7 linked regions of the Mus musculus genome follow. The protein of the gene in region 3 purifies or fractionates together with the protein of the main gene of each other region. This does not show direct contact. Links are inferred from orthologs where the notes say so. Each region holds a gene or a part of one and is shown on either strand. Other genes may lie near its edges.

Region 1 (3,646 bases), on a different chromosome or scaffold from region 3:
TATAATGTGGATACATAAAATCAGCAGGAGAAAGTAAGATTTGTTAGACAACAAATTCACTACTTTAGCAGAATGTTAATTCTAAAACACAGAAAACGATTATGTAAATAAGCTACAAGACTCAAAATGGTCAAGAGCACAGCAGGTATAAAGAAGTAGGACCTTGAAATAGTATAACCACGTTATTACAGAACAAGATTCCCCCATGAGCTCACACAGAGCAAGAACTACACAATTTCCCTTACCCATAAATAAATCATATCCCACTCACATAGCATTTGTCCTGAAAGTAATTTTACTAACATTTTTACCCTTTATCACCTTTTATGATATTTGTAACATTTCACAGATGATATAGCACCACATAACTGAAACAGAATATCTATTGAAGAGCATTACCACCAAGAAAAAACACTAATTAGTCATCGCCTAGCATGTCCACTTCATTGTATTTTAAAACTGGTAATTCCATTAGTAAAACTCCTTAACTAATGGAAGAAAAAAAAAACTATGACTAGAGTAGTATCCATTTTAAAGATAGAGTACTTACTTAAGAATGGTTTTTGCACTACTGCAGTCTTCAAATCGAATGGAGTATCCAACTTCCTGGCCTAACATCACGTCCATCTCATCAGCAACTCTCTGAGCCACACTCATTGCAGCCACTCTCCTGGGCTGTGTACAGGCGACTCCTCTTTTGGGTCCTGGCAAGGATCGCATATACTCCACACACCACTGTGGTATCTATGAAATAATTTCACATTTAAATTATTTGTACTCTGCCTGCATACAAACTATCTGTATCTAATATTATATTTTATTCTAATTATTTAAGGCAAAATTCAATTATGCAAAGAAGTTATGACTCCAGTTACAATAACATGAGCCCTGTAAGCCAGAAGGGATCATACACAACACAGATGTAACCTAATCACACTCTGGGAAGACAAGGTCAGCTCAGACTATGCTCAATATGCTCTACAGAACAGCTCGTACCATTAGTATTTTCTAAGCATCAGAAGAAACATCCAATTTAAATTCGATCCTTTAAATATAGCAATGTGCACTTTTGAAAACCACACTTTTAATTATAAAAATGTAGGCACGAGTATATAAACTGCAAGCCATCAAAAGGTCATCCTAACACTGTTAACTTTTCCTTAGGAGCAACAGGATGCACGGTGACAGCACCTTAGATACCATCTTAAAAGTTATCAAAACGGCCACCCTCAAGTTCAAAAGGACTGAGAACAGCAGCCAAGGGAAAAGGGGAAAAGAAAATGTGAAGCTCAAGATGGGTCATTATGGTGACCTATTTACTACACTACGTAGACGGGAAGGGCTTCTCTCATGGTTTAGTTCTCTAGCCATTTAATTGAACAGGAAGATGTAAATGCTCACAATCTTCAGTAAGAATCCTCCACAAAAGTACCTAGATCTGTCTCATCAAAGCTTCTGAAACCCTAAGGAATGGAGAAGCTTGGATTTCAGAATTTATATGATGACATCTGATGAGAAATGTTAGCTGATATACTGTTATATAATGTAGATTACTTTTTCAATTAGGGCTAGTTCATGCATAAAACAAATAACTCAAAGGGGAGACAATTATACTTTTTCTCCAAAGAAACTAGTGTATGTCTTTCAAGGGCCTAAATGAAGAACTACCAAGACTATCTTCCTAGTTCTGGAGGCCAGCACAGTGCTTTCCTAGGAAAGCTTTGAGGATCTACCTTCGTTTCACCAACCCTCCTCCAAAAACAGGTAAGAAGTGATGTTCTGTTGTGAAATTCAAAGCACTGACTAGCAGGTTAAAAGTTCTTTAAACTCTTCAGATTTAAAAAAAAAAAAAATCCATTCCAATGAAATGAATGACTTAACTTCATTTTGGTTATTTTGACAAATCTCAAAGAACTCAAAAAAGTTCTTTGTACTCTTAAAATAACTAATGAGAAAGTAATAGATTTACATATTAATTCCTAATGAAAACCCATCTTGTATAAACTTGAATTTTTTTCCCACATCAAATTTTTTTCAGACAAAACTTTTCTAGTAGAGTACATATTTTACATATTCCCAATTCTAGTTTCCACCTTAATAGACAGCACTTGGTTCTCTTTTTATGTTTGTCCATCTGTTCAATGCAAACTACCTTCAATGCATCTATTTTATTTTTAAAAAAAAAACTTAAAATGGAAAAGCATGAAAAATACATATGGTTTGACTTTCCAAAAAACACTAACTAAACAAAGATTATTAATAGCACGTGAAATAATTTAAAATTCTACTGATATTAATAAAGTTAAAGCTACATTCTCATGAATCTTTTTTTACAAGAGTTCAACACATTAAATTTAAAAGTTAAGGGTTTGATACAGGGTCTCTCTGTATACCAAGCTGCCTTCAAACTGCCCTGCCTCTGCCTCTCACACGCTGAAATTAAAGGTGTCATCATCCACAGCTAAAAGTTTGAGTTCTTATTAGCATCAAGTTGTCCCTCAATTGGGTCTTTTAATATTTTTGGTTGCTACAATATCAAAATGTCTCTATGAAATACTCAACTTTGATCACATAAAGAAAAATCCTAAGCCAGACATGGTGGTCCACACCTAAGGTTCAGGCAGCAGGACAGTAAACTAGAAGCAAGCCTAGACAGACTACATAGCAAGATCCTTCCTTAAAAAAAAAGGGGGGGGGGCAGGGGGGTCTGAATGTACAGGTCAGTGATAAGTGATAAGCACTTGCTTAGCAGCATGTGCCAACTATAAATGTTTACCCTACATTCATAAAAACGTAAAGAGTAAGCCAATAAATGCCTTTTATCTTTGCATATTAAATAGACAATTATAAAGTTAATTTCAGTATCTTCCCGAATTTTAGAAATGTCTACCATGTCCAGCAACTTTTGTAGTCAAGACGAAACTTTTTTTAACTAATGGCTTTCCAAGTGCCTATTAAATCCACAAGTACTTCATTCAACCATCAGATTAACAGTTCAGGGATATAACCAAAAAGTTTATAGATGTTTCAAGAGTAATTTGCTATGCTCCATGAGGAAAGAAGATTTAGCTACATGGAGTACAACTGTAATAAATCTAGCCATTTCAAAATCTACAAACATACTTATCCCTGAAGTCATTAAACAAAGCCTGAGGTTGGTATGTCAGCTGAGGGAGTTAAAGGCACTGGCCATTAAGGCTAACAACTTGAGTTCAATTCTCAATACCCATAGGATGAACAATAACTCTAAGTTATTCTGATTGCCACACATGTGCTACGGCATGGGTGCATCCATACACAAACATACACACATAAATAGATGCAATAATATACAAAATATAAAACAGGCTGCATGTCTATCAACAAGATCGACTTGTTCATGTTTAAAAACTGGGCACCTGGTGAGACACATTTAACAGTGTTTAGTACTGTATGCTAGAGGCAGATGGATGCAGGTCACAACCACACTTTGTACCTTGTAGCGTTTCTAATCATTTTCTTCTTTTAAGAAAGGATCTCATTATATAGATAAAACCGACCTTGAATTCAGAGACTTGCCTACCTGATCCCTAAATGCTGGAATTAAAAGGTATGCATTATCATGACTGGCAAGTTCAAGTTTTTTTTTTTAAACACTATTCACATA
Region 2 (3,646 bases), on a different chromosome or scaffold from region 3:
CCTGGGCCATCAACTACAGCTGAGGCTTCACCTTCTCCAATGGCCTTCCCTGGCCTCTCACAGTGCTAAGCCTCAGCTTCTCTCCATGATCCCTTCATTCCTTCACAAGCAATACCACCTGAGTGACTCTTACACATTACCAAGTCCAGCCGCAGCATGAGGTACAACCTTGGGTATCTCTGGAGCACAGCTTCTTTGTGCTCCCAGAAAACAACTCCCAGATTTCAACTCAGTGATGCTGGTTTCTTCTTAATCACTGCTAATTCCTTAGCTCCAGCTAACCAGCATCAATTTTCCCAGTAGTTCCTTCCATTCTTAACTCTAGAGCCCGAGCCACATGGCTGAAGCCGCCGAGTTCTGCTGCTTACAGGAACTAGAACATGATCCCCTTGTACTATTACATTATCACTAGCTTTATGTTTCCTAAATCCTTCACTGCCTAAGCTTGGCTATCCTGGTTCTTGCTCTGTAGATTGACCTTGAATGCAGAGATCAGCATGCCTGTCTTGTGGGATTAAAGGTTTGTACCACCATGCCTGGATCTAAATTCAGCTGGGTAGAATCTTGCCCCAAGGTCCCACTCCCTTAATCTTTTATCTCCTAGAACACAAGATTTTGCTCCATTTCACTTCCTGGTACTCCTTTAATACTCGAACCATATATTTTATATTTTGCCTTTCTAAGCTTGCTATGCTTGTTCAAACTTCTCTTTGTGAGACTTAACCAGAGAACAGAGTCTCTGCTGGGCCTTTTTGAAACTTTCTTTGTCAATGCAATTAATGCAATTAATCCAAGTCTCTTCACCTTAGCCTCAGGCAGACTTTTCAGACAAGGGTAAAAAGTAGCCACATTCTTCACCAAAATACCACAAAAACGGTCTTTATGCCACATACTGAAATTCTTCTCCTTTGAAATCTCTTGGGCCAGGTCAACACAGTTCAAATCACTCCCAGCAACAAAGTCTTCCATATTCCTACTTGGATGACCCATTAAGCCCCATTTAAAACAGTCCACTGTGTTCCAAATCCAAAGTCCAAAAATCCACATTCTTTCAAATAAAAGCATGGTCAGGCCCATCACAGCAATACCCCAGTCCCTGGTACCAACTTCTGTCTTAGTTAGGGTTTTACTGCTGTGAACAGACACCAGGACCAAGCAAGTCTTATAAAAAACTACATTTAATTGGGGCTGGCTTACAGGTTCAGAGGTTCAGTCCATTATCATCAAGGTGGGAACATGGCAGCATCCAGGCAGGCATGGCGCAGGAGGAGCTGAGAGTTCTATGTCTTCATCCAAAGGCTGCTAGTGAAAGACTGACTTCCAGGCAACTAGGGTGAGGATCTTATACCCACACCCACAGTGACACACCCATTCCAACCAGGTCACACCTATTCCAACAAGGCCACACCTCCAGATGGTGCCACTCCCTGGTCCAAGGATATACAAACCATCACACCCAGAGAGGGCACCCAGCATCCGTAGTGGCCTGGAAAGTAAACTGGCTGCGGGAGGTTGCCGGGGATGTGTTGGCAGAAGCTGATTGAAGTATTAACATGGGCACCAGCCTGCCCATTTAAGTGGTGTTCAGCAGTCCTGTTTTCTCCCTGGCCTTCAGGGAATGAAATGTTGGTTCCTCCTAAGTCCGAGGCATTGCCTGGTGCCCACTAAAGTAGAGTGGGTCAGAGCTATATAGGCTGTTTTAACAAATGAGCTATTAAGACACTGGGCAAGATTAGAGGGACATGTGGGCAAGGGTAGGAAATGGAGAGGAGAAGGGTCCAGGGATTGGCTGTAGTGGTGGGCTGTGTGGAAGAGACGGGAAACAGCTGGCTATAAAGATTTTAGGAAAAAAAATTCTTTTATATGGGTTGAATATTTTGGTGGTACTGATTAATTGTGTACGGGTAGTTAGGTATTTAAGAAACCTGTTTGCATAGTGTGTACATAGTGATGTGTGTGTGCCTGTGTAATTTTCTCCTCAGGCACTACCCACCTTATTTTTGAGACAGGATCTCACTGTATGACTGGACAGTGAGCCTCAGGAATCCTCCTGCCTCTGCCCTCCCAGCTCTGGGATTGCAAGCACATCCGCCGTGTTTGGCTTTTTGATTAGTGTTGTGCTCCGGGGCCCGAACTTGGGTTCTCATGAGGTTTTTAAAATTTTACTTTAAAATTTACGTTTATAGTCCGTGAGCATGCGCATGAATCTATGCTTGTACCTACGTGTGTGCGTATGTGCGTGCACCTGCGTGAGGGGGGGGGGGAAGCGTATGTACGTGTATTAAGTGTATGTGTGCGCATGCGCATGTGTGTTTTGCGCATGCGTGCACGTGTGCGTGTGTGAGTGTGCTCGCGCGCGCCCGCGTGCGCACGGGTGTGTGCAAGAGAGATCGCGAGGGGTGTATGTGTGTGTGTGTGTGTGCATGCTGTGCGAAAGAGAGAGATCGCGAGCGCGCGAGGTGTGTGTGTGTGTGTGTGTGTGTGTGTGTGTGTGTGTGTGTGAGACAGCTTGCAGGAATCACTTCCCTCCACACTGAGGGTCTTGGTGAGGCCCATGTTTTGATTTCTCCTTTTCTCTTCTCTAAAAAGTCATAGAATGTCGTACCACCCAGGACGAGGGTGTCCCCGGGGCCGAGGAGGACACGGAGCCAGACCTTCAGCACCAGCTTTCAGACCCCAAAACCTGCGACTTCTTCATCCCCAGCAGCCGCCTGCGCAGTATCAATATGAGCCTCCGAGCGCCCCCTCTTCCTCCTACTCGAACTCTCAGGCCCCCAGCTTTATGCCCCCACGGCCAGACTTTGTCCCTTACCCTCCCCCAGCGGCGCCGTCTGCCCAAGGGCCTCTCCCTCCCTGCCCAGTGAGGCCGCCTTACCCCAACCACCAGATGAGACACCCTTTCCCGGTGCCTCCCTGTTTTCCACCCATGCCCCCTCCGATGCCTTGTCCCAATAACCCGCCTGCCTCCGGAGCACCTCCCGGACAAGGCACTTTCCCCTTCATGGTGCCCCCTCCTTCCATGCCCCACCCTCCGCCCCCGCCCGTCATGCCGCAGCAGGTTAATTACCAGTACCCCCCTGGGTACTCGCACAGCTTCCCACCGCCCGGCTTCAACAGTTACCAGAACAACTCCAGCTCTTTCCCACCCAGTGCTAACAGCAGCAGCACTCCTCATTTTCGACACCTCCCACCATACTCACTCCCAAAGGCTCAGAATGAGAGGCGGTCCCCAGAAAGGCTCAAGCACTACGACGACCACAGGCACCGAGATCACAGTCACGGGCGAGGCGAGAGGCATCGGTCCCTGGAGCGCAGGGAGCGCGGCCGCAGCCCTGAAAGGAGAAGACCTGAGAGCCGCTACCGCTCAGACTATGATCGGGGGAGAACGCCACCGCCTCGCCACCGCAGCTATGAAAGGAGCAGGTGAGCCCATGCCAAGTTCCTTAATAAAGCTGTCTGCTGGGCAACAAAAACTTGTGCACAACCCCCCATCCCCACCCCGTTTTCTTTTGAGGCAGGGTTTCTCTGTGTAGCCCATGCTATCCTGGAACTCACTCTGTTGACCAGACTGGCTTTGATTCTTCTACCTCTGCCTTCCTACTGCTGGGATTGAAGGCGTGCCATACCACTGCCTGGTATGCACTTT
Region 3 (4,287 bases):
ATGCCCTCTTCCCGATGCCTATGTCGCACAGCTGACCAAGCCATGACAACCATTTTGGAAAGAGAGGAAAGCGTCCTAGACAACCGAATCAATTGGCTTTTCAAAGGCAGTACTAGAAAATGCCAGTTACTCTAGAGGGCATCAAAAGAACTTATGAGTGCTATGCCTCAAAAAGGAAAAAAAAATCAATATAAAGATAAGTTCTGCCTTAGTCCAAACAAAGCAAGGGGAAAGAGAGACAGTCTGTGGATAGATACCCCACAAAAATTCGGATCCAAGAAAGGATCTTGACTGCTCTATATAGACAGGATGCGGGTGTCCCAGGCTCGACAAAGAGTTCCTATCTCATCCCAAGTCTCAGTTCCACGTCTGGAAACCGCAAGAGGTTTCGAGGCTGAGACCCTAAATTCATAGAACCCCCCCCCCCACCGCGCGCGCGACTGCAACTAGTGTCCGACAGTCCCGAGCCTCCGCAGCGGCGCAGACGCGGTTCAGATTCAGCCCAAGGTCCGCGGAATGCTGCAGTACAAAACCACCAGGGCTCCAGGCCGAGACTCACCAGCCTCTGAGCTGGCCATACTGCCAGGAGAGGTCGCGGCCGGACTCCAAGACGAGAGCGCGGGCGACGGTGTCCCAGAAGGGTCGAACTCGGTCGAGCCGACGGGAGGAGGAGGGGGCAGACACTAGCGAGCGGGGAAGGAGGGGTGGAAGAGGGAGGGACGTTAAAACGGCTTCTCGACGCTGATTGGACAGCAGAGGAGCACTTCCTCGCAGCACGCGCTGAGGCGGCAGTTTGCGGGCTCCAGATACCATTCCCCGCGGTCAAGATCCCGCTTACGGGTTCTCAGATCGGCGGGCAGGGCAGCCAGGTCACCCAGCAGCCCGGCCGATCTCCCCGGGGGCGTTGGAGCCGCGCTTCCGGTGAGTTGGTGGTTTGGTGTTCCTCCGCCGAGAGACCAAGCGAGGAAGTAGTGCGATCCGCCTTGCCCTGGGTCCGATCACGTGATGAGGCCAAGCTCCGCCTCCCTGGTCTCCTTCGGTTATGGGCGTGGGGGGAGTCTGTGGAGACGTAAACATCTTCAAGTAGAGTCGGTGGAATGGCTGGCGCTGGCCATTTTAAGGACCGTCTGGCCACGGGGAAGCAGCTTGTCTGAGGTGTAGCGAGACGAGAGACGGCGGTGTCGCCAAAAGGGCGTCGGGGCGAGGCATTCTAGTGGTGTCACCCAGTCGTGAAGCGAGTAATAAACGGGCGCCGGGGAGGGAGCGCCCGCCCGCGGAGGGGGAGGGGCGAGAACATGGCGGATTCCGGAACCCGGGCGGGCGGGCGTTGAGGGCCTCCGAGCCAGGGGGGCGGGGTGATTAGGTCATAGAGCGGCTCCCAGCGTGCTTTGCGGCGAGGAGGCGGTCCAGACTATAAAAGCGGCTGCCGGGACGCAGCCGGCACCTCATTCATTTCCATCGGTCCTTGCCCTCGCAGCTCCGGCCCTCGACACCACCGGCCCCTCCGCTGGTGACGCCCCCGCAGAGGCTTCGCCGTCGCCGAGGCCTTCTCTCCGCGACTCGTCGCCGCAGGATTCTACTTTCACTGGGTTCCGCCCGCACACCGCCACCATTGACGCCATGTCGAGTTATTCTAGTGACCGAGACCGCGGCCGGGATCGAGGGTGAGTGTGACAAGAGACCTGTCAGGCCGGGTGGGGGATGGGAGAGCGGCGCGGCCGAAGGCTCGCCTTCCCAACCGACCTTTAGATTTTTTTTTTTCCCTTCCTGAAAGGAGGCCTGGCTTTTGTCACACGTCCGGTTAAAAGCCGTTAAAGGCTACGCTTCGGGTAATGGCGTTCAACCTTTTTTTTTTTTTTTTTTTTTTTTTTTTTGGTCCGGGAGGGTGGGCCGGGACCCGGGGCGGCCCGGCGACCTCGCGGCTGTTGAGGGAAACCCGGAGGAGTGTTTTCGGTCGGGAAGCGCCGCGCCTTTGAGGCGGTTCCCGGCGTCGTTTGCGCAATCTTTCGTTGGGTTGTTTTTTGAGGGGGGCCCCCCCTTCCGGTATCCCCGGGGGAAAGAAGGGGCGCTTTCGAGGTCCCCTGTGCCCCGTTGGGTGGCCTACGCCGGCGGATTCGGCCATGTGGCGGAGCCGCAGCCACAAAATGCCGGCCTCGGACATGGCGGCGGCGCCTTTGTTACCCCGCCCGGCGGAGGAGCTCAAAATGGCAGCGGCGAGAAAATGTGGCGCAGAGAGAAATGCGAGACAAAGAAGGAAGCGCCGCCCCAGCGGGAACGCCGCCCGGGCCGGGACTCCTCCCCCGGTTGCTTTCGGCTCCTCCTCTTTTTCTCCCTCGCGTTATATAATTTTGTTACCTTGGTTTGCAGCCGTTCGCGGCGTTTCCCTAGACTCGGCTCGCTGGCGCCTGTTCCCCTTTCTACCCTGTCCGCCGTGCTAGCCTCGTTCAGCTGCTCACATTGCCTTTGCGGCCCCGTTATTTCTTTAAGATTAGGTCCTTTGATGAAAACGGGCAAAAATAACCTTCCTAAGCTCCTCCCTTCTTGCCCAGCTCCTAGACGCTAATGCCTAAGCTCTGTGGGGAGAGAAGATGGAGGCTCTAACTCTTGTCCTTGTAATCTGGTCAGATGTTTGGGCTGTTTGCCACCTGATAAACCCACGATGTTTATTTGGCCTCAGTAGAGTGTGCTTGGGACTTCAGAAAAGAAACGCTGCCAGTTGTGGCTGTCCTTAGAATGACAGTTGGGAAGGATTCCAGAAGCACACTTTGGCTCTATCAAAAGGCAGCAGATGAAATGTGAGGGCAAACCTGTTCATGCAGTATCTTTCACAATGTGCCCAACTTTTGTTTTGTGTGTGTGTAGGTTTGGTGCACCTCGATTTGGAGGGAGTAGAACAGGACCCCTCTCTGGAAAGAAGTTTGGAAATCCTGGGGAGAAACTAGTTAAAAAGAAGTGGAATCTTGATGAGCTGCCCAAATTTGAGAAGAATTTTTATCAAGAACACCCTGATTTGGCAAGGCGCACCGCAGTGAGTTTATAAATGTGGCTTCTTCATGCTGTAACTCAGTAACTGCTTCTAGTCAATTAGATGGAAATGTAATAGGTGCCTTGCAAATGGAGAGTTGCTTGTGGTGCACTTCCATTGAATTTTTCTTGTGATATATGGTGCCCTATTTTAATCCTGTCACTGGGGAAACAGGTTTAGCAGTCTATTGGGCTTCATAGAGACTCAATTTTCATTTAAATAAGTATTATAAATTAATTATTAATTTTTGTTGCCAAGTAGAGTTCTTATTTATGGGTCCAGATTTTTAGAAATAAGTATGTTTAAAAGTTTATTGAGCTATAGGGAGCATGGCAGAAGTCTGAGGCTGAGATAATTTGTTTTTCAGCAAGAGGTAGATACATACAGAAGAAGCAAGGAAATTACAGTTAGAGGTCACAACTGTCCAAAACCTGTTCTGAATTTTTATGAAGCAAACTTTCCTGGTAAGGACTAACTTTCATCTTTATCCTTTCATTTCCCCCCCCCCCCTTGCTTATAAATTTGTTTTTAAAATGGTATTGTTGGTTGCAGCGAATGTCATGGATGTGATTGCAAGGCAGAACTTTACTGAACCCACTGCTATTCAAGCTCAGGGCTGGCCAGTTGCTCTCAGTGGATTGGATATGGTTGGAGTAGCTCAGACTGGATCTGGGAAAACATTATCTGTAAGTCTAGGAAAACTTGATAAATTGTGGCAGAGGTGACCTTAGATATATAACTATTTTAATCCAATTTCTATTATTTTTACTCTTCAATAGTATTTGCTGCCTGCCATTGTACACATAAACCACCAGCCATTCCTAGAGAGAGGTGATGGGCCTATTGTAAGTATTATCTTAAGTTTCCCACCATATTTGCTAAAACTCCTTTGACTTTCATATAGGGAATATAGGGTTGCCAGTATAAACTAGCCACTTAAAATTAGTATCCAGCCCAGGCGTGGTGGCACACACCTTTAATCACAGCACTGGGGAGGCAGAGGCAGGTGGATTTCTGAGTTCCAGGACAGCCAGAGCTACACAAAGAAACCCTATCTCGGGGGGAAAAAATTAGTATCCAAAGACAGTTAGTTGGATCAGCCAATTATAGATACTTGTCATGAGCCTGATCAAGATCAACTACCACAAGGAGAGACCAACTTGCAAAAGTTGCCTTCTGGTTTCTCCATGTGCTTCCACACACAAAAATTTTATCCTGAGAATAGTGCCTGGGAGGTAGAAACTGGAGAATTCAGGAGACAC
Region 4 (3,646 bases), on a different chromosome or scaffold from region 3:
CTTTTGGAAAGCACTTGGAGGGATGAGTAGAAGGACACAAAGAGAAAAGAATCACTGTATAAATAGTCAGTAGAACAATTTATGGGTAATGGAAATTAAGGTTTCAGACTGAATAGAATTTCTGAAGAAAAGATCCAGGATCTATTCTAGATAGTATAGAACTGAAGTTTGGCCTTAGATAAGTCATCTATATAGATTTTACAGTACACGGGTGGTGGTGATGCACACCTTTAATCCTAGCACTCGAGAGGCAGAGGCTGGTGGATCTCTGTAATTTCAAGGCCAGCCTGGTCTACAGAGCAAGTTCTAGGATAGCCAGGGTTACACAGAGAAACCCTGTCTTGAAAAACTAAAAATGAATGAATGGGTGAATGAATGAATCAGAGTACTAAGAATAAATCAACTTAGGGCTGAAGAAGAACTAATATGGGGCAACCTTTAAGTTAAAAAAGGGTAAAACCAGAATAATAAATGATAGGTTTAAGTAAAGGGAGAAGACAGTATGACTGGATGACAAAGCATAAAGAATATAGTGGGTTTTATAAGAGGAAGTCATGATCTTAAAACAGTGTTTTCAAATCATAATCTCACCATTTCTTTCCCTCCCTTTCTTTGTCTCATTCATTCATGTGCATGAAGAAAGGAAAACGAAGAGAAAAAGAAGGGAGACAGACAGACACACACACACACTCACGGGGGTGGGGGGAGCAAGCATGCCAGTGTGTATCAGCAGATACTCCTCCTATGGCAGCATCCATCTGTACACGTCAAAGAACAACTCGAATGAGTGGGTTCTCTCTAATTTTTGTAATCTGGGAGTTGAACTCAGATCCTGAGGCCTGCAGTAAAAATACCTCTATTAGCTGAGCCATCTCACTTGTGCAATCTCAACATTTAAAAAGTAAAATGCTCACTCAGTCTAAAAGCTTTGATCATAAGCAGGAAATCTGTATCCTATAACTGTGCCTACAATTCATCCTTTGACACCGCAGACTCGTCAACTCTTAGCTACTATGGAGGTAAAATCCTTTGGTGATGTGAGGGACATTGAAGTACAGCCTTATAACAATGAACTCCAATGTCTAAAAATTGTTCCTATTTTGGGTTTGTACCAAAGTAAGAGTCAAGATCTTAAGCTTTACTAAAAACAAAACAAAACAAACAAAAACTATCTTAAAAAAATAATAAATAAAATAAAATGAGCAGGCCAGGCGTGGTGGCACACTCCTTTAATTCCAGCACTCTGGAGGTGGAGACAGCTAAATCTCTGTAAATTCAAGGCCAGCCTGGTCTACGCTGCAAACTTCAGGCCTTTGAACGCTGTAGGGAAATGGCTCAGTGGAAAGAGTGCTTGCTGTGAAAGCAAGAGAATCTAAGTTCAACGCCTCAACACCCACATAAAAAGTGAAAATGAATGGAAAGTAGGTATAGGCAAGGTATAATCTTATTCAGTTCTTTCACATTATACATATAGTCTTCTGCTTTGCTTTTTGAAATAGAATCTCATGTATCCCAGACTGTTCTTGAGTTAAGCTTTTTTTAAACTCCTAACCTCCAAGTGCTAAGAATACAAGCATGCATCCCAGTTATATATTTAAGTATGTGGACCTGTGGTATAAAATATACTTCTCAATCAACTGCATGGATTCAATTAGAATCTTTAAATAAAGTTATGTAGTCAGGCTAACCAGAAATGAGAACTGTCTTCTCCCGAATCCTAAAAAGTTATTGGAGGAAAAAGCTTCCACTTGAGAGCTAGAGAGCAAAGGCTCTGACAAAAAACAAGATGCGATTAAGACAAAGTGAAAAGGAAATTCCATGAAATCAATACTACTTAGACATTTATTTAGTCCAACTACTATTAAAGCAGAAAGAAGCAACTGATACATAGGAAACTTGAACTCTAAGTTTATTATAGCTATCTCCTTTTGGGAGAGCATTTATATTTATAAATAATGCAACAGATCCCCACAAACCAACTTCGAAATGCATTTTTTTTACCTGTGACTTTACTGAACTCTTCCAGAATGTTCTCTTTAGTTTTATTCTTTGGAATGGATCCAACAAAAAGTCTGTTGTTTGCCACAGAAATGCACACTCCCAGGTGTTTACCAGGGCGAATCTCATAGCTGTCACACTGCAAAGAAGAAAAGAACCAGAGACCCCCAAACCATCCCAGACTGAGGACAACTAATATTAATCTAAAGAGCCCCACAATTTAAGATCAAACACTCACCAAGCTCCCTCACACTTGCTGAAACATGAGTGTAGATTTTGAATTCGTTACAATCCCCAGTTATAGCTTAGTTCTGTAACCTCTACTGTTCATCCATATAAAAAGGGGATCAAAGCTATTCATTTTAACACACCTTTCTCTCTCTCTCCCTCTCTCTGTTTTGTTTTTGAGACATGGTTTCTCTGTATAGCCCTTGCTGCCCTGTATAGCCCTTGCTGCCCTAGAACTCAGTGTAGATCAGGCTGTCCTAGAACTCAGAAATCCACCTGCAATTCTCTACCTCCCAAGTGCTAGAACTAAAGGCATGCACCATCACTGCTGACTTATTTCAATTTTATCTACATTCCCTTCCAGAGAATTTCAGAAGGAATACCTGAAAATTATTTATTTTTATTTATTCTGAGTCCTTGAGGATGAAATTAGATATAGATCAGCAATAGCCAAAATAATTACATGTAAAAAGGAACAATTAAAACTTTAACTATGGGGGCTGGTGAGATGGCTCAGTAGGTAAGAGCACCCGACTGCTCTTCCGAAGGTCAGGAGTTCAAATCCCAGCAACCACATGGTGGCTCACAACCATTTGTAACAAGATCTGACGCCCTCTTCTGGAGTGTCTGAAGACAGCTACAGTGTACTTACATATAACAAATAAATAAATAAATAAATAAATCTTTAAGAAAAAAAAAAAAAAAAACTTTGAGTTTCACACTGTATACAAACCACAATTCTGAATAAAGCTATAAAATATCAGAACACTTTCAAAACTTTATGAAGACAACAAAGAATGTGATGAATTCTTTAATAAATTTTATTTTATGTTTTAACATTACTTACTACTAGTTTACTAAGTGATATTTTTAAAGTTATCCATGGGACTGGTGAGGCAGCTCAGTGGTTAAGAGCATTGGCTGCTCTTCTGGAGATACTGAGTTCAATTCCCAGCAACCACAAGGTGGCTCACAACCATCTGGGCATCTTGATGCCCTCTTCTGTCATACACATGGGAACAGAGCACTCATATATATGAATAAATAAATCTTTTTAGTTACCTATACACTATCAAAAACAAGAAAATAAAACCTTGAAATGTCCTTAATATTGAATACACAAGTTTTAAGAGAAAAATCCATCAGAAAAACTAAACCCTGGACCAAGCTAGTAAAGGACTGCTTCAAACTCACTGATGAAACAAGAACACTTGGTGGATACAGCTGTGCTAAAAAAGGACAAGAACTGCCTGCCATACCACACTGCGTATGCCCTTAGATGTCTGGCAAAAATCTGCCAAAAACAGTAACACTGTCACTTTAACACACCGAGAGTCAGAAAGCATACAGGCCAGACTCAGAACTTACTGCTGCTCTAAAAAACACAAGGTCGTAAGAAGCTCTCAGAGAAAAGGAAAGC
Region 5 (4,274 bases), on a different chromosome or scaffold from region 3:
CTAGACTACTGTGTGAGCACCAGACCAGCCACGACTTGTCTCCATCAAACAAGAGGGGGAAGCAAACGGGAAGCCTGCAGCTGACCCTGGAGAGTGGGGTGGCAACTCTGAAGACAGGAGGGATTGGGAAACTGAAACAGAAGGGAGCTTGTAGGACCACAGACCAGGAGGTAAACGCTGGAAAAATCGGCCATGATCAGCTCAGAATTTCAAGACAGTAGAGGAAGACAGAACAGACTTCAGACTCTCCTCTCTGTCTCTCTGTGTTATTGTTGTTTTTCCTGGCTGTCCTGGAACTGGCTCTGTAGACCAGGCTGGCCTGGAACTCAGAAATCCATCTGCCTCTGCCAAGTGCTGGGATTAAAGGCGTGCGCCATCAAGGCCCGGCTCACGCCCATTTCAAAAGCATCAGGAGTGCCGGCTCAATGTTAACAGTTTTGGGGATGATTGACTCTGGACAGACCAGCTTTGGCGCGGCTCTGTGAAGGAAGGTTGTAGTAGATCCATCCTGACAACACAAGATCCAAGGGTTTAGGCCTGAGCGTTGATCGCTCACCGCCCACAGTGTCGCCGCGCCCCCTGGCGGCCGTCAGTTGCCATGTCAACGGCGGGTGGCTGAGACGACGGAGGCGGCAGCGGGGGCAGTTCTCTCTTCCCCTGGCCTCAAGGCCGCTCCCACGGCACCTCCTGCCTTCGCCTCACCGGGAGCACACTCCCGGTCCTGGAAGAAGGGCCATTCTGTAGCAGCTGGCATTCGGGGGATAAACTGAGGCACGCAGGAGGGAGCCGCAGGCAGGTGTCTAGTGCGGAGCCCCACCTCCAAAGGCAGAGGAGGGGCTGCGAGCAGTGACGCGCCGAGGGCGGACGCTGGACTGGGAGCGGGAGGGCGGGAGGCGGCGGCGGCAGGTGCGGCTGCGAAGGGTGGGAGGAGGAGGGAGGGGGTGGGCGGAGGGGGAGGGGAGGCCAGGACGGGCACCTCCCCCTTTATAACGCGCCCCCTCCCGGGCTTTCGGGCCGCCTCCTCGTCTGCTCTGCCTATCTCGCCCCCTTGCCCTGCCGCCCCGGGCCGGGCTTGGCCAGGGAGCCTCCGCCCCCAGGCCTTCCCCCCACCACCACCCGCCGCCCCGCGCAGCCCGGCGGAGGCGGCGCCGTCGGAGGAGGAGGAGCAGGGCACTGCGGCTGGCCCCGGATCGGGAGCCAGAGCGGCAGCAGCTTCGGCAGCAGCACGGCCCGGGCCAATGCAGCGGGACGCACCGCCGCGAGCCCCAGCCCCAGCGCCACGGCTTCCTGCGCCCCCGATCGGGGCCGCCAACAGCGCTGGCGGCGGCGGCGGAGGCGGGGGCAGTGGCGGCGGCGGAGGCTCCTCTGCAGCTCCGGCTCCCCCTGGCCTCCCGGGAACTACAAGTCCCAGGGGGCCTGGCGGCGGGCGGAGACCGGAAGAGGCGGGCTCGGCACCTCGAGGCCGGAAGTGGCCGTGGAGGCGGAAGTGGCGCGGCCGCGGAGGGGCCTGGAGTGTGGCGGGACCGGGAGCGGCGGGAGCTGCGGCTGGGGGCGGCGGCGGCGGCGGCGGCGGAGGCGCGCTGGAGGTGGCCATGGCCAAGCAGTACGACTCGGTGGAATGCCCGTTCTGCGATGAGGTCACCAAGTACGAGAAACTTGCCAAGATCGGCCAAGGCACATTCGGGTAAGATTAGGCCGCGTGGGACCGCGAGCCCGGGACCTGCACTTTCCAGGGCCGACGTCGGGTCGCCCAGAGCCCGGGCCGAGGTGGTCCGGAAGCTTCTGTTTTCGTGGCTGTTGCCCGGTCTTGCTCGGCCGCGGCGCAGACGTTCCCGGCCCAACCGAGCCGACTGGCGGGGAGGAGCCTGGGGCCCGTGATGGGGGTTGGGTAGGGTTGCTGAGAGCCACTCCGAATGTGAGCGGCCACCTCTAGGGGAGGAGTAGGGGCTGAGTAGGAGTAAGCAGAGGCCGGGAGGAGGACGGAAGACACGCGGTGTGGAATGACCGCGTCCCGGATCCGAGGCCGCACCCCGCCCGCCGTGGGTCTGGGCTCCTGCTGCTCCCCTTCGCGCGGGGGAGGGGCACTCCCTGCGGAAATGCCTTATGGGTCCCTTGGGTCTTTCTCTGTGCCTGCAGGGAAGTCTTTAAAGCCAAGCACCGTCAGACGGGCCAGAAGGTGGCTCTGAAGAAAGTGTTGATGGAGAATGAGAAGGAGGGGGTGAGTATATGGACCACTGGGCCGACCTTCTTCTAACCTGGCTGGGTTTCCACACCGCTACTTCAAAGGGTTTTGTGCTGAGATTCGACCTAGTGTTTTTCGGTTTTCCATGGAACAAGGAATTTGGCTTTCCATTTACACTGTTGAGCTTTAGTGGCAGAGTTCTGTGGGAGCCACGGGAGGGAGCCTGTGCTTTTCCCATGGAGTGCAGGTTGACTCTAGAAAACTTTCAGCTTAGCTTGGCGTTGAATTTTGTTTTGTATGAAGAGACCATTTGTGCACAAGCCGTTTAAAAGGCCGCTGAGCTTAAGGTGATGTTCTGAAAGGTGTTGTTTCCATCAGCCTCAGCAGCATTGCCTTTGTAAGGAAAATGCTGTTTGTCTTACTTTGCGTCTATAGGGTCTTCTGTTTTCTGGCATGTCTGTGTACAGCACTATTCTCCAGTACCTGGGTACCTGAGGAAGCCAGAAAGGTGTGCCAGGTTGCCTTGGATCATTTGGGACAAAAGATCCACTGTGTGGGTGCTGGGAATTGAACCTGGGTCCTGGGGGAGGATAGCCAGTGCTGTGGTGTGTGTGTTTCCCTGAAACAGGGACTCTATGTTTTGTTTGACACAAAATCTCTCTGTAGCCCCAACTGTCCTGGAACTCACTGTTTGGTCCAGGCTGTTCTCAGACTCACAGAGGATCAACTGCCTGTGTTTCCTGACTGCTGGAAATAAAGGGCTGGACTGCCACACGTGACCATAGCCAGTTTCCTTAACCATTCAACTATCTCCATTCCCAGGAAATTTCTTGATCTTTTTGGTTTTTTTGAGACAGGGTTTCTCTGTGTAGCCCTGGCTGACCTGGAACTCACTTTGTAGACTAGGCTGGCCTTGAACTCAGAAATCCACCTGCCTCTGCCTCCCAAGTGCTGGGATTAAAGGCGTGCGCCACCACTGCCCCACAAATTTCTTGATCTTAACTCACAAGTGTTAGTGACAAAATGTTTATCCTTATTTGGGTTGTCTAAAATAAATTCCCAGTCTGGAGTAAAGGGTTGTGATTATAATCCCAGCACTTATGAGACTGGGGAAAAAAGATGGTTCATAAACAAGTTCAAGGCCACCATTATCTAGATGGCAACATTTAGCAGCTCCTTGAGATATGTGTGTGTTTGCACTTATTTTATATTTTGCAAAGGCTAGCTACAGATAAATATAGATATATCTTCCCCTCTCCCTTCTTTTTGAATCAGGAGCTCAACTAAGCAGTCTGGCCTTGAACTTGGTGGTTCTGATGTCTCTGTCTCCTGATACGAGAATTGGATTCCAGATAGGAACCATCACACAGGAACGATTCTCTCGCCTGTCTTTCAACCTCTGTCCCTCAGTATAGACCCCAAACACACCCCCACCCCACCCACAGTTCCTCCGTCTGTTGTGCTCTCAATTTTGACCACTTCCTCTTTCTCCTCCCTAGTTCCCCATCACAGCCTTGAGGGAAATCAAGATTCTACAGCTCCTAAAACATGAGAATGTGGTGAACCTAATTGAGATTTGTCGGACCAAAGGTGTGTTGCTTGCCTCAGGAGAAAAGGGGGGTTTGAGACAAGGTTTCTCTGTGTAACCCTGGCTGTCCTGGACCTTGCGCCATAGACCAGGCTGGCCTCACACTTAGAGGTCCACCTGCCTCTGCCTCCCGAGTGCCGGCCCCCCATCTTCTCTGGTCTTGTTTGGAGTTGGGTGTCTGTGGGTTGGAGGGCTGGGAGTTGGCTGTGGAAAATGAGGTGGATGCAGGTTTTTATTTTTTATTTTTCTCTCTGCCCCTTCTGTATCAGCCTCACCGTATAACCGCTGCAAGGGCAGCATCTATCTGGTGTTTGACTTCTGTGAGCATGACCTTGCTGGGCTGCTGAGCAACGTCTTAGTCAAGTTCACGTTGTCTGAGATCAAGAGAGTGATGCAGATGCTGCTGAACGGCCTCTACTACATCCACAGGAACAAGGTGGGGCAGAATGGGGCTTCTCTGCTCTTGACTGCTGTGTAGGCCAGGCTCCAGGATGCTATGAAACC
Region 6 (4,350 bases), about 18 Mb from region 3:
GTCCCTTTACCAGCCAAGCCACCTCCTTGGCCACTGGTTATTTGTGGTTGTCTTTCTGAGACAAGAGTCTCACCCTGTAGCTGACCTGAAACGATGTAGTCCAAGCTGGCCTCAAACTCATGATTTATCTGCCTAAGCCTCCCAAGGGCTGGAATTACAGGCATGAGCCACTACACCAGCTTCACTTCACCCAAGGTTCACTGTAACTGGAGCATGCCTTTTTTTTTTTTTTTTTTTAAGATTTATTTATTTATTATATGTAAGTACACTGTAGCTGTCTTCAGACACTCCAGAAGAGGGAGTCAGATCTTGTTACAGATGGTTGTGAGCCACCATGTGGTTGCTGGGATTTGAACTCCAGACCTTCGGAAGAGCAGTCGGGTGCTCTTACCCACTGAGCCATCTCACCAGCCCTCACTGTAACTGGAGACCATCATGTTCCCCATTTTATTCTTCTGTAGCTGGAAGCTACTGCTGGGGGTCACAATTTAAACCAAGATCTTGGCACTGAATCTGGGAGGGACCTCTTAAGTGCCAAGCCTCCTGACACCGGATCCTGCCTCTGCGGCACTTCCCTGGTGGCTCTTGACCTACCCAGAGATCTGTAGGGTCTTGCCCCAAGCCAAACAGCTAGCTCTGGTGGTAGCAAAGACAAAAGCACCAAAGGCGGGGCAGACTTTCTCCCAGAACAGCTAGACTTGGAGGTATCCGTACCCCGTACCCACATGGGGTATACTGAAGAGAACTCTAAAGATGTTACCTGTAGATACAGGTGCCAAGAATCAGAGGGAAGACATTCTAAGGGACCTGACTAAGACCCAGACAGGCAGGCAAGGCCAGGGAAGGGCTGTGGCAGGAGGAGGGAGCGGAGCTGAGATCTTGGCACCACACAGCAAGGCTTGCCAACCTCACCCAGGTTTCCAATTCCTTCCACAATGTTGGGACAGGCCTCAAGTTCTCAGACGTTTGAGAGAGAAAGGAGATCAGATCACACTTTGACAAATGTACCGAAGAGAGGCAACAACTGCTTTGAGTCTGTAATGGGGGGGGGACCTCTAAAGCCACTAAAATCATTGCAACCCCACAAGGCCATTAGGAACCCTGACTCCCTGACACACGCTTCCAGTCTTTAGCAAGGCGGACCCAGGTCCAGAGGCCCAATTCCTGCTCAATTTCTTTTTTCTTTTCTTTCTTTCTTTTTTTTTTTTTTTTGGTTTTTCGAGACAGGGTTTCTCTATATAGCTTCAGCTGTCCTGGAACTCACTCTGTAGACCAGGCTAGCCTCGAACTCAGAAATCCACCTGCCTCTGCCTCCCGAGTGCTGGGATCAAAGGCATGCGCCACCACGCCAGGCCCTGCTCAATTTTCACACAGCAAGATGGACTACACCAACTGAGCGCGTGCGTTTAGTCTCAGCACTTGGGAGGCAGAGGCAGGCAGGTCTCCATGAGTTCAAAGCCAGCCTGGTCAATATAGCAAGCTCCAGAACAGCTAAGACTACATAGTGAGACAGTCTTAAAAACAACCAAAAAAGGGCTATACCACAGTGCCAAAGTCACAAGCAGGGATTTCTGAGGCTCTGTGTTCACACTCACTATCCATTCACACCCTCCTCAACAGAGGCTTCTGTTACCCTTAACCTCAAGCTTCCAAGACTGCTCCATGCTCTGGACTCAACAGATCTGTGGTCTACAGGGAAAAAGGAAACCAGAAGCTGTGACTCAAAGCAGCCTGGTTCCTGCTAAGCTAATTTCTCTGGGCCTGTTTTCCTGAACTAAACAGACACAGCCCTGAGCTGTGGAATGAACTAAACAGACACAGCCCTTTCGTGCTGCCAGGATCTGAAGGGGTTGGAGAGGTAACCCCCAGGGTTCCTGGTTAATATTCAAAACTACTGAACTCCACTGGACAAACACAGACTTGGGGCAGGCACTCTTACCTGTGCCTTCCGTTGTGCTCTATGTAAAATAGAACTAAGAGGGCTGGAGAAGGCAGGCGATAATGGATGAGCGGGAGGCTATATAAAATCTACTTGTTTGGTCTGTGGGGATGGCTTCCTACTGCCCAACTCCCAGACTGCGGCCCACGGAGCCTAAGGCCATGAGGTCTGTGAAGGAATGGGATCTCTGGCCCAGCAAAGCCTATCTCCTCTAGCAACCCACTGTACTACAGGGATACCCAGGATGGCCTCTCCACAATTCAGCTGATCCAAGCTGTCCTCTATACCCTCAACCAGCCACTCCCTACCTCCAGGTCGGCGCTGGCTTGACTTAGGGTCGTAGGGGAGCAGGTCTTGTGCTCTACCAAGCAGATATGGCAGATGCACTCGCCATGCTCGGGACAAAACAATTCCCGAAGGCGGTTGTGCTGGGTACATTTGCGGCGCAGAAGGTCACGAATGGGCGACTGTAGGGGGTGATCCTGGAAGGCCGGACTGTCGAAGTGAGGCCTCAAGTGCTCCTGGCAGAAAGAGGCCATGCACACGAGGCACGTCTTCACTGCGATCTCCGTCAGGCAGTGGTCGCAGGCCACCTGGGTGGCTGCGCTGGAGGCGGAGAAGCGGGCAGGAGGCGTCCAGTCGTCCACCGGGGTCCGCGCCTGCTCGGCCTGCAGGAACTGCTCCACCACCGCGCACATTACCGTGTTCTTTTGCAGCTGCGGGCGCACCTGGTACACTTTGCGACATTGCGGGCATCGGTACGGCGGGCCCTGGACGACCCACGTCTCATCCAGGCATGACATGCAGAAATTGTGGCCGCACGGAGTGGTGACAGGTTCCTTGAAGAGCTCCAGGCAGACGGAGCAGGACAGCTCCTCGGCCAGAGGATTCAGCTCCGCCATCGCGCTCGTGGGCTCACCCGACGTGACGCGCAGGGACAGCTGCGCACCCTACCGCGCGGTACTTAAGAAGCAGCGAGGAAGGAATCGAAACTGAACAGGAGGGGCGGCGCCCTGGGGCTTCAGGAAGTCACGTGGGTCCCTGGGGGCCGGACAGTGGGCGGGAGGCTTCCCTCCTGGTGCTGGAAGCCAAAGGTGATTATGGGACCTGGGGAACTCTGATGCTCTCCACACCCCGCGGACCCGAGCGACGCACGACCCAAGGGCTACCAGGTGCAGTTTCAGAGGCACTCTGCAGATGAATTGTCGCAGGGGCTGGAATATTCCCACCCTCCTGGTCGGGGCCTACGTCCTAGCACAGTGCAGCAGAGCTTTGGAGAACATTCATCTGTGTCCCCGAGGTGTCACCAATCATCCCTCCAGAACAGGACCGGTCTTATTAAAACTCAAAGCCAAACAGAACAAAATACTGTTGACCCAGAGCTTGGTGGCTCGTGCCCGTAATTTAGTCACTTAGGAGGCTGAGGCAACAGGATTGCCGTGAGTTCGATGTCAGACCGGGCTAGAGAGTTAGTGGCCGTCTCAACATCTAAAAATAGGGTTGGGGAGATGGCTGTACAACAGAATATGAGACCTAAACACAATTACTAAAACCCTGGTTAAGACTGCACAAAATTGACACCCCCCTCCCCCAATAACATACACATAATAATTTAAGGAAAAGAAAAGAAACAAAACACAATTCTATGGACTGTGGCTGTCTTCCCCTTCCCTTCCCGCTCCGTTCCCCCTCCCTTCCCCTTCCCTTCCCCCTCCCTTCCCCTTCCCTTCCCCCTCCCTTCCCCTTCCCTCCAGCTGTGCTGCCTTTGTATGCAGCTCCCTCTTCTTTCCTGATGGTGGGCTCTGACAAATCTCCTCCCAAGCCCTAAAGGCAGGACCCTATGGTCATCCATTCAGATCTGGTGTTCCTTTTATGGTAGATGATCTTTAAAACAACAACAACAAAACCTAATATTACAAAAGTTGGGTGTCACAACTTTTGCCCCAAGTCAGCTCCAGCCACCGGTCCTTAAGCCAATTAAATGAGCCTACTTAAAAGAGGAAAACAGAAAAAAGAGACCCAGCAAACCCCTCAAGTCCACCTTCCCCGTTCTGAAGTGAGAACAGAGTTAAAACAGAAGGCAAAAATATTTGTATCTAAGTGCCAGTCCAGACCTGGTCCAGCCTACCAGTGGCCCATCATTGTCTGGGATTCAATCTCATTTGGTAAGCTGTTCTGTCCCACAAGCTGTACTAACTGTGAAATCTTTTCCCAGGAGACAAATTCTCCCTCTGGTCTCTCCCAGCATGAGATTCCAAGGAAACTCCCATTTCTCTGGGGTTCACTGTTTCAATAATGTAACAGATTGAGACACAAGTGTCTCTTAAGAATTTCTTCATCTAAGCCAGATTGGTTATAATACTTTTAAATTGGGTGAGGTGGGACACACCTATTATCCCAGAACTCTCTCT
Region 7 (3,321 bases), about 56 Mb from region 3:
TTATACAGATATAAATGTTTTGGTTTTTAAAAAAACTAACGATATTTACACAAGCCCATGCCTCCCATCATTTGGCTACCATAAGCACCACCGCTTGCTCCTGCTGTAGAATTCAAGAAGAGTTCTACATATCTGTGTTCTGAAATGAGAGAAAAGGCATACAAGGTTAGCTTAAAAAAAGACACTAAAGTGATATTTACACAAACCCATGCCTCCTAGCATTTGGCTACCGTAAGCACCACCGCTTGCTCCTGCTGTAGAATTCAAGAAGAGCTCTACATATCTGTGTTCTGAAATGAGAAAAAAAAAGTTTGAAATTGTTAGTTTGTAAAAGAAAACAAGTTAAGCAATTTAAAAGTAATTTGTGAATCACAAATGTTTTTGGCAAAAAGAAAATTCCCATGTTAGTTAAGAACTAGCTTTTAAAACACTTATCTTTGAACTATCATATCAACTAAGGTCAAACTTCAAGATTATATCTTATCACAAATCCCAATAGGTTTAAAAACACACACACACACACACATAAGCTTCCTTCAGTACAACCAAGCTTCCTCACTAGAGATCAAATCTTTCCTATATATCCCCTTACTAATCTATTCTAAATGCTTGTCACTGAACTGCCTGAGGTTACAAATAATTTAATCACACTTACGCATATTTGCTTTATCTTTTGACATAGCTGCAACAGCATCTTCATGGGTTGCGAACTCAACATCTGCTTCACCAGTTACTCTGCCATCAGGTCCAATCTCAATATGTACTCTCACAGGGTTGAGTGGTGAAAAAAACTAAAATACAAGTTATTTAAAATTAGACAGCTTTTAACAATCAAAATGTATAATGATCACCCCATTATTTTTACTACTGTACTGAATTATCCCAAGTGAATTTAGTTGAACACGTACATTATAAATGTCATTCTCAGTAGCTCTGTATGGTAATCCCCGCATGTGTACACAGTGTCCGGTTGTACTCTGGAAAGTAGAGCCACCGTCCCCATATCTGTGGTCAGACATTCCTGAAAAACAATAATTGAGGTCTAGATGGACAAATGTGTAAATATCCTTCAATTGAGAAATTCAATTCTTACCTTACCTCTTCCAAATCTATCTGAACCAAATCCATAGCCATCATTATAGCCATTATAATCATCATAGCCTCCATAGCCTGAAAGAAAAAAAGTACAATTAGTCGGGAGGTGGGGGGAAGCAACACACACACACAAAGGAAGCTGGTTCAGCATATACACACCTCCACCATAAGCACCACGCCTCATCCTCTCAAAACCAGCTCCTCTGCCAATGCTGTTATACCCTCTGCCAGCCCCAGGTCTGTCATAGGGACCTGGCCGCTGCATGGCCATAAGTTTTCGTGGTGGGTCATAATGAGTTCTAACTTCAGCTCGACTGCTCTTAAATATTTCAATATACCTAAAGCATTGTCCAAAAGGAAGGGGAATGGGGAGGGGAGAGAAAACATTAGTTCATGTCATACAATTACTTTGTTATACAAGAAAAACAATTTAGTCATAGCCATGAAACTGACTAATATTTAAAGCCAGATTTCTTACATTTATTTGTATAGGCAATGACCAGAAAATTCACTCAAAAGACTATTTAAACTTTATAGAAAAAAAGAAAATAAACTCCTCTGAGGCAGAGCCCAGCCTTAGAGGCAGAGAGGAGTATTAAGTAAATGGTTTAGGAGGGAATAATTCCACTCAACTTTCATTATTTCAATTCCTTTGGCAGTATGTGTAGCAAGTGGGCTAAAAAGCCAGCCTCCACCAACAGTCTAGCCCACACTACACACTTCTTTTCGCCAGTACCCAGCCTATGCTTTTAGTAGGAATCAGCATAGGTAAAAAAGCGCATGCTTCAATGAAAAATAGTCACAAGCAAAGAGAATAAAACCCTTTGTGACAATTTCTTGAAAGCTATGCTTATTAATACATATGCAGAATATTTATACAGCAAGAAAAAGTTTGTTGCATTTCAACTTTAAAAACAAGATCAGAAAGTATCACATTTTCTTATGGTAATATTAATTTCCTATATGGGTGTTATTACAGCTAAAGACAGGTTTGTAGTAATTTTTTAAAGCCATAGTCTCTCAACTCTATTGATTAGGGTTAATAAACTAAAAGTCCTACAAAATTGTAAAGACAGCCCAATAAACTAGGGATAATTTTAAAGCCTAAAGTTTAATTTGAATGAAATACATTAACTGGGAAAATTTAGAAGTTATAGCAGATTATCAATTAACTGGGAATAGGAAATGGGTAATTTCCTCTTTCTAAGCAGAGAGAATATGGATTTAATTGTTTACCATAAGAAAAGTGACATATCCAACCAACCATCCATCCCCACCTGTGCCCTATTCTTTCCTTGTGTTTCTTTAGAGCCTTTTCAGCTATTTCCTGTGAAGCAAACTGCACGAAGGCCTCCCCCGTACTCCTCCCCTGGAAGTCCACCGGCAATGTTATCCCATTTGGCACGATTTCCAACCCTTCAACCCAAGGACAAATAACCCCAGTAGGGGGGCAATATTAACATCACAAGCCCAGAAATGATTCTTCTTATAGCTTTAAATAAACCAGAATTTTAACTTTAGGTGAATGGTATGCTTTCAACAAGTACTCTTAAAATATGCATTGCAATAATAAGAAGTTCCACTATAAAGAGTATAACTCAATTCTTAACACACCCAAGGCATAGTATATACAGTAAAGAAAAAAAAGTGTTATACTCCAGAGGGTGCATTAAGAATTCAACAATTAAAAACATTTTAATCTATGCATCTTAATAGAATTATACAAGAACTTTAAATTTTTTAAGCATTAAAATAACAATTTAAGTAAAATAAGAAACCTTTTAACCTCATATATTTCAATTCTTTTTAAGTTATTGGAACTTCAATTTTAAAATTACACATTTAAACAGTTTATGTAAAAATTGAAAACATTTTAAAAATCATAATTGACAAACATACAAACTAAACTTTCAACAATAACTATCTACAAAGCAATCATGCACTCTTATGTTCTAACAGTAGTATGATTCACTTCTGGAAATTCCGTCTATGAAAAATCCTTCCCGTGGATACATTCCCAAGCTTACAAAAAGGCCTTAAAGCACTTTCCTAGAAGATATGAAATTATGTTCATATTTAACGTTGACAGATAGCATTCAATTCTCACCAATTTAGATAAAACAAAACAGACTTGATTTCAAACTATAAAATATTACAAATTGATACATATATAAAGTTCTAGTCAAAGTTCTAATACATACTATGCTAAAAACTATTAAGATATTT

What was found.
Region 1: the proteins of Ddx5 (region 3) and Dhx15 fractionate together in Homo sapiens (co-fractionation; 3 studies listed by BioGRID). This does not show direct contact. The link is inferred for Mus musculus from reciprocal best matches to the Homo sapiens genes DDX5 and DHX15.
Region 2: the proteins of Ddx5 (region 3) and Drosha purify together in Homo sapiens (co-immunoprecipitation; 4 studies listed by BioGRID and IntAct, with this or other methods). This does not show direct contact. The link is inferred for Mus musculus from reciprocal best matches to the Homo sapiens genes DDX5 and DROSHA.
Region 4: the proteins of Ddx5 (region 3) and Hnrnpr fractionate together in Homo sapiens (co-fractionation; 3 studies listed by BioGRID and IntAct, with this or other methods). This does not show direct contact. The link is inferred for Mus musculus from reciprocal best matches to the Homo sapiens genes DDX5 and HNRNPR.
Region 5: the proteins of Ddx5 (region 3) and Cdk9 purify together in Homo sapiens (affinity purification with western blotting; 3 studies listed by BioGRID, with this or other methods). This does not show direct contact. The link is inferred for Mus musculus from reciprocal best matches to the Homo sapiens genes DDX5 and CDK9.
Region 6: the proteins of Ddx5 (region 3) and Trim25 purify together in Homo sapiens (affinity purification with western blotting; 3 studies listed by BioGRID, with this or other methods). This does not show direct contact. The link is inferred for Mus musculus from reciprocal best matches to the Homo sapiens genes DDX5 and TRIM25.
Region 7: the proteins of Ddx5 (region 3) and Hnrnph1 purify together in Homo sapiens (affinity purification with mass spectrometry; 4 studies listed by BioGRID and IntAct, with this or other methods). This does not show direct contact. The link is inferred for Mus musculus from reciprocal best matches to the Homo sapiens genes DDX5 and HNRNPH1.

What each region holds. Positions count from the first base shown.
Region 1 is NC_000071.6:52,180,432-52,184,077, forward strand, and holds part of Dhx15 (pre-mRNA-splicing factor ATP-dependent RNA helicase DHX15), read right to left. Parts: intron 745-3,646; coding exon 551-744; intron 1-550.
Region 2 is NC_000081.6:12,831,240-12,834,885, forward strand, and holds part of Drosha (ribonuclease 3), read left to right. Parts: intron 1-2,589; coding exon 2,590-3,423; intron 3,424-3,646. UniProt on the Homo sapiens protein: Ribonuclease III double-stranded (ds) RNA-specific endoribonuclease that is involved in the initial step of microRNA (miRNA) biogenesis.
Region 3 is NC_000077.6:106,785,650-106,789,936, reverse strand, and holds the start of Ddx5 (probable ATP-dependent RNA helicase DDX5), read left to right. Parts: upstream 1-1,442; 5' UTR 1,443-1,620; coding exon 1,621-1,664; intron 1,665-2,862; coding exon 2,863-3,028; intron 3,029-3,392; coding exon 3,393-3,489; intron 3,490-3,577; coding exon 3,578-3,711; intron 3,712-3,804; coding exon 3,805-3,870; intron 3,871-4,287. Other genes in the region: Cep95 (centrosomal protein of 95 kDa), read right to left, coding at 560-578. UniProt on the Homo sapiens protein: Involved in the alternative regulation of pre-mRNA splicing; its RNA helicase activity is necessary for increasing tau exon 10 inclusion and occurs in a RBM4-dependent manner. Binds to the tau pre-mRNA in the stem-loop region downstream of exon 10.
Region 4 is NC_000070.6:136,327,857-136,331,502, reverse strand, and holds part of Hnrnpr (heterogeneous nuclear ribonucleoprotein R), read right to left. Parts: intron 2,138-3,646; coding exon 2,002-2,137; intron 1-2,001. UniProt on the Homo sapiens protein: Component of ribonucleosomes, which are complexes of at least 20 other different heterogeneous nuclear ribonucleoproteins (hnRNP). hnRNP play an important role in processing of precursor mRNA in the nucleus.
Region 5 is NC_000068.7:32,709,975-32,714,248, reverse strand, and holds the start of Cdk9 (cyclin-dependent kinase 9), read left to right. Parts: upstream 1-1,464; 5' UTR 1,465-1,592; coding exon 1,593-1,684; intron 1,685-2,136; coding exon 2,137-2,218; intron 2,219-3,457; exon of another isoform or gene 3,458-3,681; coding exon 3,682-3,772; intron 3,773-4,039; coding exon 4,040-4,206; intron 4,207-4,274. UniProt on the Homo sapiens protein: Protein kinase involved in the regulation of transcription.
Region 6 is NC_000077.6:88,997,980-89,002,329, reverse strand, and holds the start of Trim25 (E3 ubiquitin/ISG15 ligase TRIM25), read right to left. Parts: upstream 2,928-4,350; 5' UTR 2,842-2,927; coding exon 2,248-2,841; intron 1-2,247.
Region 7 is NC_000077.6:50,380,649-50,383,969, reverse strand, and holds part of Hnrnph1 (heterogeneous nuclear ribonucleoprotein H), read right to left. Parts: intron 2,512-3,321; coding exon 2,373-2,511; intron 1,434-2,372; coding exon 1,255-1,433; intron 1,171-1,254; coding exon 1,099-1,170; intron 1,043-1,098; coding exon 909-1,042; intron 792-908; coding exon 656-791; intron 291-655; coding exon 231-290; coding exon of another isoform or gene 201-230; intron 140-200; coding exon 50-139; intron 1-49. UniProt on the Homo sapiens protein: This protein is a component of the heterogeneous nuclear ribonucleoprotein (hnRNP) complexes which provide the substrate for the processing events that pre-mRNAs undergo before becoming functional, translatable mRNAs in the cytoplasm.